Linked DNA regions of Caenorhabditis elegans. The protein of the gene in region 2 purifies or fractionates together with the protein of the main gene of each other region. This does not show direct contact. Each region holds a gene or a part of one and is shown on either strand. Other genes may lie near its edges.

Region 1 (5,096 bases), on a different chromosome or scaffold from region 2:
TTTTTGTGTCAAAAATCACAAAATTTCGCGTCTGTTAGAATATAATCGACTTACGAGCAATTGTAAAGTCTGCAAGACACTTCAAAAGGTTTCTGAACATCTACGCATGCTGGCGTCTTCTCGACAGAAAGTCGAACATCTCCATATCCAGGTGCCTAAACTCGTTTCAATATGTTCTATCAAAAGAAGTGAAACTTACAATTCTTTGAAGAGCACTAGTTTGGAGCCGTCCCTTCTCTCCCATGCTCGTTCTCCATGACATATCCAACTTTCCAATACTTGTCAAATCTTTATATCCAAGTGTGTTATGAACATCGGCTGGTGTTAGACAGAACAAAAACTGACGAATGTCTTTTGGTTTCAGAAGTTTTCCAACATCGCCAAATTCATCCCTATAAATATTTTTAAAAAATATAAATACTATATATTACGGTCCTAAAAATTCTGAAATGCGTATTGCGCAACATACTTGACACGCAAAATATCTCGTAGCGAAAACTACAGTAATTCTTTAGATGCCTACTGTAGCGCTCATGTCGATTTACGGGCTAGATTTCGAAACGAATTTCTGTTCGAATAGTGACAGCGATAATCCATTTTTCTTCGTTTTTTCGTATTATTTTCTTTAATTTCAATATTTGTTCGATAAATAAATTTTCGGAAATCGACACAAGCGCTATAGTAGACATTTAAAAAGTTACTGTAGTTTTCGCTAAAAGATATTTTGCGCAATAATTATACTCAGAATTTTGTATTCCCGTAATATGTAGTACGTACTCATGAGCGATACTAGTAACATTATAATGTTGACTTGGATCCAACTCGACTTTTTCCAGGAACATATTCGCATTTGATGTATTTTCAATTTGGGCTTCGAGGTAGACATCTTGATTCTGAAAGAAACATAATTTAGACAAAAATAAAATATTTTAAAGTTCTCACCGCATTGTCCTAAAGAAAACGACATTTATACACAGCACTCGGTTGGACGAAACATGCAAAATTGACCAAATAAAATTAATATTTATTACAAAATCTCACACACCTCGGCACTGTAAAACTTTGTTTTCACATCAATCGGTTTCGATACTGGAAATTTGAAAAATTTCCGGAAATACATGTTCTCGCCGTTCGATGTTTTGTAGTTGACCGAGCATATCAGTCTAAAAAAGAACAAAGTTAATGCAAAGGTGTCATGGCAACGGGGGGAAGATTTTGAGAAAATGGAGGAAAACCAGAGAGAGATTAAACAGGAAAACTTACATATGTTGCCCGATTTCTTTCACTTCGTGACTGATGACCTGTCCTTCACATTTTGAAGATTCGATTGTTGCGTCTTGAACGGAACATGGAAGAACAACTCGTTGAGTTGATGTTTGAAGCTCACACTGAAACAAATCTTTTTTAAAAAGGAATATTGATGGGGTCTTTGAAAATTGATAATTGTTACATGTTAAATACCTGGAATTTTGGAAATTCACTTTTTCACAACTAAGAAAGCTGAAACTGCAAATCTGGAGTGAAATTAATTTGCTCATATTACCCAGATGCGCATTTTGTATCGAAAATAGAGTGGCCGGTCCCGACACGACAAATTTTAGTTAATTGCGAAAAGGGAGCGCGCCTTTCAGGAGTACTGTGGTTTCAAAATTTTGTTGCTGTGGAATTTGTATCGATTTTTCAACGTTTTTCTCTATTTGGTGAAATTTGAATTATTTTATCATTAATTTGAGTTTTCGTTTTAATATAAAAAAACTATGAAAATCGATAAATTCCGCAGCAACCAGTTTGAATTTCCAGTGAGCGAAGAAATTTAATTTTTTTTTACTTTTTATCTTAAAAAATGAGTCCATTTACTTACTTTTAGGCTCACACTAGAGACAGTCTTCTCGCTTTCGTTTACAACATTTACATAGAAAGTAAACGTCTCTCCCAGATAGATATTTCTGAAACGAAACGGTTTTTTAAACAGCGCCTTGATCAATCGACTCACTCGAACATTTGTGGTGCAATCAAATATTCGCCGATTGGAAGATCTTGTCGAGATTCTTTCGATATTTCTGAAACTTTTCCAGCGAGAAGTTCACCGAATCCTGTAGGATCGACGGGATCGTGGGAGAAACCATCGACAGGAGCAAATTTTGGACGAGCCAATCTCATAACTAAAATCGAAGCTATGATTGATTAATGATGAGAACTAAAATTACCCCGCAGAGCAAGAAGCTGTTGTGAAGAAGAACTTGCAGGATTGTCAGCCATTGTCCTGATTTATAAATAATTAGCTTTCCGCCGGGATGAAATCACAGTATAACTTTTCGGAATTTCTAACCTTACAAAATATTCTTTCGAGCTGGAATATTTGTGCAACTTTTATTGAGTTTAACAAAATGGAAGTCAGTGGAAAACTACCCAAAATAACGGAAAATAAACACCGAGGAACAGATATTACTAGAAGGATCCCCGGAACCCCTAAGAATTCAAAATCATCGGAACGTAGAAAGCTTGCTTTAAATACATAGCTAACATTTATTAGCCATTTGAGGATCGGGAATAAATTTGTATACAAAACAAGTATAACAACGAACACTAATGGGGGCGGAAAAAAAGGTGACAGAGCAAGTATTTTTTTAAAGAGATTCATTGAAATCGATCAACAGTAACAAGAAAAATGGGATATACTAATGCGGATGCTATCCGTACCGTTCATCTCACAAAACTCGCGAATTGGTCGATGAAAGGGTAGTGATTTATTGCTCATCGGCTTTCGTCTCGTTCTTTGAGGCGGCGTCGAAGTCTCCAACAAGTTCTGAAAAATGAACCTGTTATTTAAAAAAAATCTTTTATGATTTTCCAACCTGGCACATCTTCGTCCTCTCCCTTTCCATCTGGTCCGAGCTTGGTAACGTTGTTGGCAAGTTTCTTGAGGTGGGTGAGGGACTCTGGACCGAGTTGGTTGAGGATTCCTGGGAGCATTTCAGTGATCTCTGCAAAATATGTAAGGTTAAAAACATTCAGCCAATGAGCAATACTTACGCTTGTTATCGGCTGATCCTGTGACAGAGAAGGTATTGGCTGGAACAGAGGTTTGGACTTTTGGGTTGTTGAAGTGGATAACGGTTCCATCGTCCTTAATCATGTTGACCTGAAAAGTTACAGAAATTAAATTAATACTTTAAATCAAAGTTTACCTCCTCGATTCCTGGAATGTTGGTGACAGAGAGTTTCTTCAAGTTGCTTTGAAGCTTCTTGTCATCGGCAGCAGCGGTCTTGTGGATGACCTTCTTCTTTCTGCGTGGAGTTCCCTGAAAGAAATAGGAGAGATAAAATTATAAATTTAAATATTTACCTTTCCTCCAATTCTGACATGCTCCTGTTGAGCTTGGAGCTTCTTGATTCTCTCCGCAATAGCCTTGCTATCCATTTTTGGAAGGATTACCTGAAGACGAAAAATATAATTAAAGACGTGAAAACGTGAGAACAAAAAGGATAAAGCCAGTTAAGAATATTTATTCCTAAAATAACAAAGGGACGGGGAAAATGCGGACAAACGCGAAAAACGGAAATGTAAGTTTATCAATCGAATCAGTTTTAGCCTAAATTCAGGCACGGAAACGAATACACCTACGAGATCGACAGAAAATTATGAAAATGGTGTAAACAATAATGAAATAGAATCTAAAAAGATAGAAAGAAGTCAAAAACAATGAAATTCAGAAAAAATCACCGAAACGGTAGAAAATTTTTTCGCGAGACCCGAACATTCCGTGCGTATGTGCCCCTTGCTTTAAAATTTCTTGATATAGGGGTAAGGGGCACATACGCAGAATCTGGCTTGCTGCCAGTCGTTTTCCTCTCACCCTCTCTGTCTCGTCGTTTCTCATACTCCTTTCTTTCTCTATTTCTCTATATCTCGCTTCATCATTAAAATGTCAAAGCTATTTCGCAATTTTCTCGCTGTCTCGTTCTGCCATACCATGAATCACAAGGGTTTCTGGGCTTTATTTAAGTTGTGAAATTCTAGTTTAGAAACTCCTTCTTTCCTCATTTTCTTTTGAATTTTCTTTTCAATTCACTACCCTTTCCCGCAACGTACTTATCGCAATCTTTCATTCGAAGCAATGCCTTCTTAACGTGCTCCGTGTTTCGCCAGCTCGCTGTTAATCGATCGCCGCTCCGGCAATTGTCGTTTTGTTTGTATTAAATCTCCATAGCAATTCTCTCAAAGGCGGGCCATTGCTATATTGCTAGTAAAACAAGTTCCCAATTTTACTTTTCAATACATTCTTTGACTGATGTATCATGTGATCTCTTTTTTGTTCTTCTCGATTACACTATCTAAAAATGATGACGTATTTGCTTCGCGCCTATTTGGTTGAAGTGATGATTCATCCATTGATTGTCGTCTCCACTTGTGCTTTTTTCCTACGTCCTACCACTTCCTTTTAAGCGTTTTGTATATTCGCTTTTTCATTTATTTTTTTTTTGCAGAAAATGAGCCTGTTCGGCAAAATTTTCGGAGGCAGGAAGCAAGAAGCTCCGTCTACTCCACAAGAATCTATTCAAAAACTTCGGGAAACAGAGGAGATGCTTGAGAAGAAACAAGAATTCTTGGAGAAAAAAGTTATCGACGTAGGTTGGAAGATAATTTTTAAGAACAGGACCATTAATAAGTGTTTGTGCTGAAATCTAAATTTGTAAACTATCTGTTTGTGACGTAATTAAAACATTGCTCAGCATTTGGATTGTTGACTGACGTCAAATCAAATTTTAGTCGAGAAAAGTTAAAAAAGATTTTCTGATAGGATACATTTGGGAAATTGGAATCATAGTTTTATAATTCCAGTTTCCAACAAAAAATAATATTCTAAAATTAACATCAAATTTCGGACATTTAATTGAGAAACTTTCAGGAAAAGCAAAATGCCGTGAAGTATGGAACGAAAAACAAGCGAATGGCTCTCCAGTGTTTGAATAGAAAGAGAAATTTCGAGAAGCAGTTGGCCCATATTGACGGAGTTTTGTCTACTATCGGATATCAGGTTGGTATATAAGGGAAATATTATAAAAATTAATTGAACAGCACGGTTTTTTTCCAG
Region 2 (7,408 bases):
GAAGAAAAAGTTCATTGACGACTTCACGTTTATCTGTACAAAGAATCCCAACGTTGTAAGTAAATAATTGTGCATTTTTGAACAACTTCACATAAATAAACATTATTTCAGAAACTTGCCGATCAAGTTAAGAAATTGAACGAATACAAGCCGTGGCGGGATTTGCCAATTCTTGACAAAATCAATTATCTTGAAAAATTCTCCGAAAACGAAAAAGAAACATTGAAGGGATTGTGGCACTGGTTCAAAAAATGGATCGAAGCGGAAAGAATCCTCGTCTCTGTGAAGATTGGCTCTGAACGGGCAACAACTACGAAAACTAGATTCGATGATGATAATCGTGCTAAAAAATTGGTTCTTGATGTCAAAGACAAGAAGCAGAAAGGAAAGAAAAATAATGAACAGTTTCTACCAAAAACGTATGTCAAATACAATGCTGAAATTGGCAGAGTTAAGACATGGGACATGAAGGGTAAAGAAGGAGAACATAAACAGGTGAAGGTCTACCAGCTTTGGCATTTTGACTTCTCTGAGCAACACGATGGACGATATTTCTGTAGAAGGTAAATTCTATGAAAATTGCCCTTTCTGAAAAATAAGCATTGCAGTTATATCAAGAAGGTTGTACCTGAAGATTGGCCAGTCCAATACCCAACAGCTACAAACCCGTTCCACGAGGAGTTGGGAAATCAAGGATGTATTCATGAAACCGCTCAGTATCTTTCCCAATTCATCAACATTCACGACGCGAATTTTGTCGAAAAACTAGACATTGATGTCAAATACTGGTCTCAGCTCTTCTCTATCGAAAAGTTCAGACACATCCGAAATCTCAGAATAGTGCACAATGCGCCTGGATCAACACATTGGTGGCTGAACAGAATTAACACAATGCGAACTATTCCAGAAGTAACAATTGCGCGAAACTATACTGGAGACTTTGTTGAGGAAAAGGAGTATCGTAGTAGAAGAAATGCAGTCATGCACCATGAAGTTATGCCGTACGTGATTCCATTCGAAGAACGTGAGATGCCGAATTGGGTAGAGAAGACTTCGTATTGCAATTATCCGGTAAGATATTTTTAAAATATTATGCCGATTTAAATAAAACATCGTATTTTCAGATCTTCTGGGCGAAACGAATCATCTTTGAGAATACTATTGAGAACCCTCTTACCGATTTGGCAAGAATGAGCTCGTTGGCTGAGGTCAACTTAAACCGTTATATTCTTCCGAATTCGGAACTTCTCGAATTTCTCCAAATGTGGTCAAACGGACAGATGGGTCACCGTCTGCGGAGTGTCACTATCAATCTCGATTGCCCGTTATCAAAGAGCGAACCGATTTTGAATGGTCTCCAATATTCGAAGACAAGCGATATTGAGTTGTGAGGAATCAGTTCTTTGTGGCAGTTTTGATTATTCTTAATTCAGATCGTCTCCGCTTACGAAGGCTGTTGAAAAGAACAACTATATTTCGTACGTTCTATATCGTGAGTGGAAAGTGTTGCGTCCCGATGGCCTGCAATCGACACGTGGTTTTCAAAAAGAATCTCTTTCGTCTGGGTATGGAAGCTCTCTTCCTGGTTCCGGACCTTCGACTCCTCCATCGGAATCAAATATAGAAGAAGCAGGAGTTACTCCGACGAACGCCGAATCCAAAAACATGTCCTCAGGGCAGCACAGTAAACAAAACTCAAGTGATGAGACTCAATCTCGAGGTTTATTTCTAGATAATTATTTCTAGTTAAAAGTTGAATTTTTAGACCGATCTGGTTCGGGTGTATCAGGAACTTCATCGAATGGCGAGGTATCATCTACTCCGGGTAGGACTGTTTGGCACGGAGGTGCGTGTGCATTGCTCCAGATTTCCCAAGATAAGAAGAACATTTTGTTCACGGCAATTCACAACGAGAAGTTCGCATGCGAACTTGCTAGATTCCGCTTTTCTACATCTAAATAAATGTCCACCAACATTCATTTAAAAATTGTATCTATCGTTGTATGATAACTAATCTTTAAAATTTTTCCGACTTCCAATTGATCGCAAGTTTGTGAAACCATAAATAGCTTAACCCTGTATTTTATTTTCTTTATCAGAAATGCCTTTCGCGATGTTTAGCGAAATAATTTGGGTATCAGAATAGGAAGTTAGTTTCTGCTAATAATGTTTCAAATTTGATTTCGGAAGAGCAAGTAGATATATTAATGATTGTATTCAAGTTCTGTAGCTTTGTTCTAAGGTCCACTAAAGACGTATAATATTTTGTAGACTGATTATTTCACTATTCAAAAAAGTGAGAACTATACAGGTGTATATATTCAAACGTTTCGGGCGAAGTTTTTCTTTAATAACTTTTTTTTCTGATTCATAATTTGCGCCATCATCTTACTTTCTTGTTAATGGAGATGTATCATGAAGTTTTTTATAACAACAACATTTATAACACAAACAACGAGTGTTTAGGCTTGTTGTCCAGAGGATCTGAGGCTGGTGGCGATTCTGTCAAGATCCTTGCGTCCCTGCAAAATTTAGTTTTAGTACGATGTTGAAAATTTCGAGAAAATTCAAAAAAGAAAACATGCAGAAATTTAATTTTAATATAAACATCTAATTTTGCATGTTTAATTTTCAGCGCATATATTTATGAATAATTTTTAATAATTTATTTTTACAAAAAAGTTCGAATTTTATATTTTTAGATAATAAAATAGAATACTCACCTGCTTGGAGAGAATTCTTCCTTTGCCGTCTGGGTGCTTCTCAACCCACTTGATCTTCTCGAGTTGCTGAACAGCCTTTCTGAGGCAGTTTCCAGCTGAGGTTTGGAAATGGTTTGGTGCAACACCACGTCTCTTGTTTCCTCCGTAGACCTTCTTGAAGGCTCCGATTCCTAAATAGAAAAATAAGTAATGATTTTGTCAATAAAAAGTTACCGGCGGGGCGGAAATACAAGTGACGAGCAAGACTGGCAGCACGGGTGTAGAACCAATCTGGATCGACTGGGGCAAGCTCCTTGTTGACTCCGAGCTTAACAAGATCGGACCACTCTGGAACCTTAACCTTTCCACTCTTCTTCAAGAAGTGAGCGATGGACTTGGTAGCCTCGTGCTGGTCGACGTCCTTGATGGAGGTCGCTCTCGTCATTTTACCTGAAAAGGAAAAGTATAGCTTTGAAAAAATCGTATATTAGAAGACGGAAAGAAAACCCACTGCCAAAAAAACTATTCTTAACAACAAGCGCTTCAGAAAGTGGATATTATTTAAGAAAACTGTAAACGTAACATATTTCCTCCCAATCAATACATAGAAACTCGAAAAACCGTGAAAATCGCGTCAAAAAATTGAAAAAACCTGTAGGAAAAGAAACGAAAAAATTCTTCACCGCTGATCGTAAGACATAACCTGCATACCAATTGGCTGCGTAGCGACTCGGCACGCGACCGCAACGCACCGGGCGACACTCAGTACATTTTTTGAACAGCGGGGGCGGGCGTTTGAATTGAATTTTCAAACGATTTTTTTTGACGTCGTAACTTTTTGTTTCGCAGACACTTTTACGCTTAAAATGGCAAAATTAAACACATATGTTACAGCATAGACTTGAAGAACTGAACTGCTTGGAGGAAAATGGCATCGTCTTCGAACACTATGGGTAATTTTTTCGATATAATAAGAATGTGAAAGGTTAATTAATATTTTTGCGGGTCAAGCATATAAAATTCAACCTTATTGAAATTAAGGTGGTCACTCGAAGTGAATATCGACTCTAAAAATTAAACTTAACTTACGTGAAGTTTTCCTTTTATTTTCTGTTTTCAGAATTCGAAGAAGACGACTCCACCGTCACACAGACAAGGTTACCTGCTTTTCGAGTATCCATACATATTTATCCCACTATTTCAGCCTCCCCACAACAACTTCAGTTCTGGATAAAAGTAGGAGTCTTTTTGGGAACTCTGCTGTGATTTCTGTAAGTCCAGTGTGTTTGTATTAATCTAAAATTTGCTTACTTAGACCCCAGCTAGAGATTCAACTCCTGATGGGCACATAGTCGATTCGAGTGTCATTACCAAGTCATCAGTTATCATAGAAGCGGAAGACGAGCCAGATGTAGCTGCCGATGTTACTGCACTTGATAAAGAAAAGGCAGAAGATGAGCCACAATGTTCAGCCGGTAAGGATGCTAAATCTGGAGAAAGCATGAACGACTCGGAAAAGTCTGAATCACCAATTGAAGAAGGAGAGGGAGAAACTTTCGAGAAAAAAATTATCTCGATGGATACTAGTGACGATAAATTAGACATTGCTGAATCGATTTCTGTTTCAAATGATACCGAGAAACCTGAAGAAAATGAAGAAAAGGTGGTTGGAGATGAAGATGAAGAAGATATTGATGATGTGCAAGAAGACGACGAAGACGAAGCTCCAAAAAAGAAAACTAAGGTTTGTTGATAATTCGAAAAACCTAATTTTAATCAATTAATATTGAAGAAGGCAGTGTCAACGTCAGATGACGACGATCTGCATGAAGATGATTCTCCAAAAGGAGGTAGTGTGAGCGACGAGAAAGAAGAACCAGAGAATGAGGACGATACAGAGGAACCCGAAAATGAGGTTGAAGTAGAAAGTCCAGTGAAAGAGCAAGCAGATAGTGGTGAACCTATTGAGAATGTTAATGATGACAAGGCGTCTGAACCAGGCGTTGGTGAGATTTCACAAGACAGTGTTGATGATTCTCAAAAAATTGGTCTCGATTCAAAATCGCCAGATGGAGAATCAGAAGCAAATGAAGAGAACCAAGAATCTCAATCTTCTAGCCGCAGCACTCGTCGCGCTAAAAGAGTTTCAGCAACTGTTTCGTCTACTCCTTCGTCAAACACTCCACGCCGTGGTGGTCGTGGGCAAAAATCGGAAGTGAATGCAGATGAAACGAAAACGCCCATTGTTAGTAACAGCACCCCCAGGCGTGGTCGATCTTCCAGGGGTGGAGACAGAGATGAAGTAATTGATCCTACGGAGAATGTTGTTGGCGACTCTGGCGTTGAAGAAACATCACCGCGCAAGGGAAGATCAAGACGCTCTGTTGCAACAGAAGACACATCTGTCACCGAGGAAGTTGAAAACACGGAACATCCAACTGAAGAAGAAACTCCGAAACAGGGGCGTGGAAGACGTTCAGCTGCATCTTCTTCAGCAACTTCGTCTGCAGTGCCAACACCGCGGTCCACAAGAGGAAGAGGAAGAAAGTCGCAAGCAAATGAGGAAAACTTGCAAGAAAAAGAAACCGAAGACCCTACAAAAACTCACGATACAAACCAAGCGAAGTCCACCCGAACTCCGCGAGGAAGGCGTTCTAATGCTGATGCTGAAACTATGGAAAGTGTAGAAGCTGAGAAAGTCGAAACTCCAACATCATCTCGTAGATCTACAAGGGCTAAGCCTCCTGCAAAATCTGCTCCGGTGACGCCGGCTGTGACAAATAAACGAACGACAGTTCGTGGAAGAAAGAAGCAAGGTTCTATCACAGAAGACCCTATCGAAGAAGCTGATGAGACTATTGAAGAAACTCTACCACAAAAGAAAGGTCGTGGAGCAGCTAAAAGTGCGCCTTCATCGAGCAAGAAAAGTGCAGAATATGATCCATATGATCTTGATACTGAAATGGAGCATCATCCAGAACCTTTGAAGAATATTCACGTGAGAATTAAAAATTAATGTTTATCTGTAATTTTGCTTGTTTTCAGATGGAAGTGCACAATTTTGGTGCTGTCAAGTATGCCAAATTGGGTAATTCAGAGTCAAAGTATTCTATGACAGAGAAGGCGGCAGAGTCTAGAATTGCTGAGTTACAATGTAAGTTGTTTTGTAGTTTCTTGAAATTAAGAATATCTATGCTTTCAGCTTCTCCTGCTGCTAAGAATCGGCGTTCTCTTGCTGATATGACTCCTGGTAAAGATAAGATGAAGCATAGAGTATCGTCTGTAGGAACTTCGGGAAGAAGATCAAGAGCTAAAAAGGAGGAAGAACATCACGAAAATGATATTGAAATGGAAGATGCGCCTGCAACTGCTACCCCAGCTTCGTCAAATCGTGGAAGAAAGAGAAAAAGTGAAGCTTCTGACATCAAAACACCTCCGGCGAAAAAAGAACCAGTTATTCCTCTTAAAAATCTATCTGATGAGGATCAACTACTAGTTGATCATCCACAAGACGATAATGAACCTCATGCTCCTGGAGCTCGAGTCTACGCTGTGTTTCAGAAGATGTTTTATCCCGCTGTCGTTCTTTCGGAGCGTGATGGTCTCGGAAGATACAAGGTACAATTCACGGTTGATAACGTCATTAAAGATGTTCCAAATTCTGGAATCATTCCACTTCGCGCTTTATCCCCTGGCAAAACTGCAGTCTACAACGAATCCGATGTTCGATTGGATTCTGGTCCTAACGATATTAGTGCTGCGGAATGGAAAAAAGGAAAATTAACCATATCGATCATGGATGAAGATGGGGAACCAACTGACGAAGTGAAGGTTGTTGATTGGTATGATGTTTCTTTCGATCATTCAGAATGGCGAGACTATGTTAAAAGCAAAGATCAAAGTGCTACGGCTATTGTTACGTCTAATATTACTACAATATCGGAGGCTACTCGTGCTCGTAAGCCAACTACAGTTTCTAATCAAGCAAAACCAAAAGGTCGTAAGAAGAAGGGAGTTGATCTAGTTTCCTCTAGAGGAGGATCAGCAAGTCCGGCTGAAGAAGAAGAAAAGCTTTTGCCAATGAACGAGGAAGCTATTGGAAAGAACATTTTCACCGGAAAGGTCTTCATGCTAACTTCGGCCAATCGTTCAAATTCTGCGAGTGTTCCTTCAATGTTCAAAAAGAAGAATCTGATGAACTTCATTACTCAGAATGGTGGGATCGTCACGGAGCAGCTTAATGTAAGATAACGTCTTACAAATAACATTCTAATCATTTTATTTTAAGAGCTTCCAAGAGCGTTACTCCAACTACGAACCATTGCTGATTTCTGATACGTACTATCGTACTCACAAGTACTTGGCAGCTTTAGCTCGTGGTGTTCCTTGTGTTAACAATACATGGTTACAAGCATGTGGTGAACAGGGGAAATGTGTCGACTATACGGACTATGTTCTTCCTGCAGGTGCTTCAATTTTTGACGAGTCTCAGGATATGCCAGCGTAAGTGAACTTTCATGATGAATGATTTCAATTCCGTTAGATTTTTGATTTTTATAACGATTCTGAAAATTCTGATCATCGAAAACATTTAAGGCCCAAAAATCCATCAGAGCTTTTGAAAGGAACAACAATTTATGTACACTCAACTCACTCAGCTCGTGAAGTAACACAAACTGGACCCGGAGGAACTTTCATCGAGATTT

The links. Proteins that work in one complex are often made in the same cells at the same time.
Region 1: the proteins of rps-19 (region 2) and icd-1 purify together in Caenorhabditis elegans (affinity purification with mass spectrometry; 2 studies listed by BioGRID, with this or other methods). This does not show direct contact.

Annotation. Positions count from the first base shown.
Region 1 is NC_003280.10:6,585,220-6,590,315, forward strand, and holds icd-1 (Transcription factor BTF3 homolog), read right to left. Parts: upstream 3,437-5,096; 5' UTR 3,422-3,436; coding exon 3,347-3,421; intron 3,303-3,346; coding exon 3,189-3,302; intron 3,143-3,188; coding exon 3,034-3,142; intron 2,985-3,033; coding exon 2,856-2,984; intron 2,807-2,855; coding exon 2,748-2,806; 3' UTR 2,358-2,747; downstream 1-2,357. Other genes in the region: C56C10.7 (putative trafficking protein particle complex subunit 13 homolog), read right to left, coding at 55-155, 200-392, 778-893, 943-951, 1,046-1,163, 1,264-1,388, 1,862-1,946, 1,994-2,162 and 1 more; vps-32.1 (Charged multivesicular body protein 4b), read left to right, coding at 4,492-4,629, 4,911-5,039.
Region 2 is NC_003279.8:9,622,645-9,630,052, forward strand, and holds rps-19 (Small ribosomal subunit protein eS19), read right to left. Parts: upstream 3,153-7,408; 5' UTR 3,148-3,152; coding exon 2,937-3,147; intron 2,894-2,936; coding exon 2,724-2,893; intron 2,523-2,723; coding exon 2,463-2,522; 3' UTR 2,424-2,462; downstream 1-2,423. Other genes in the region: T05F1.2 (F-box associated domain-containing protein), read left to right, coding at 1-55, 112-563, 609-1,071, 1,125-1,387, 1,434-1,720, 1,766-1,962; Protein hsr-9, read left to right, coding at 3,631-3,655, 3,823-3,859, 3,907-3,973, 4,018-4,446, 4,495-5,700, 5,748-5,856, 5,905-6,944, 6,991-7,205 and 1 more.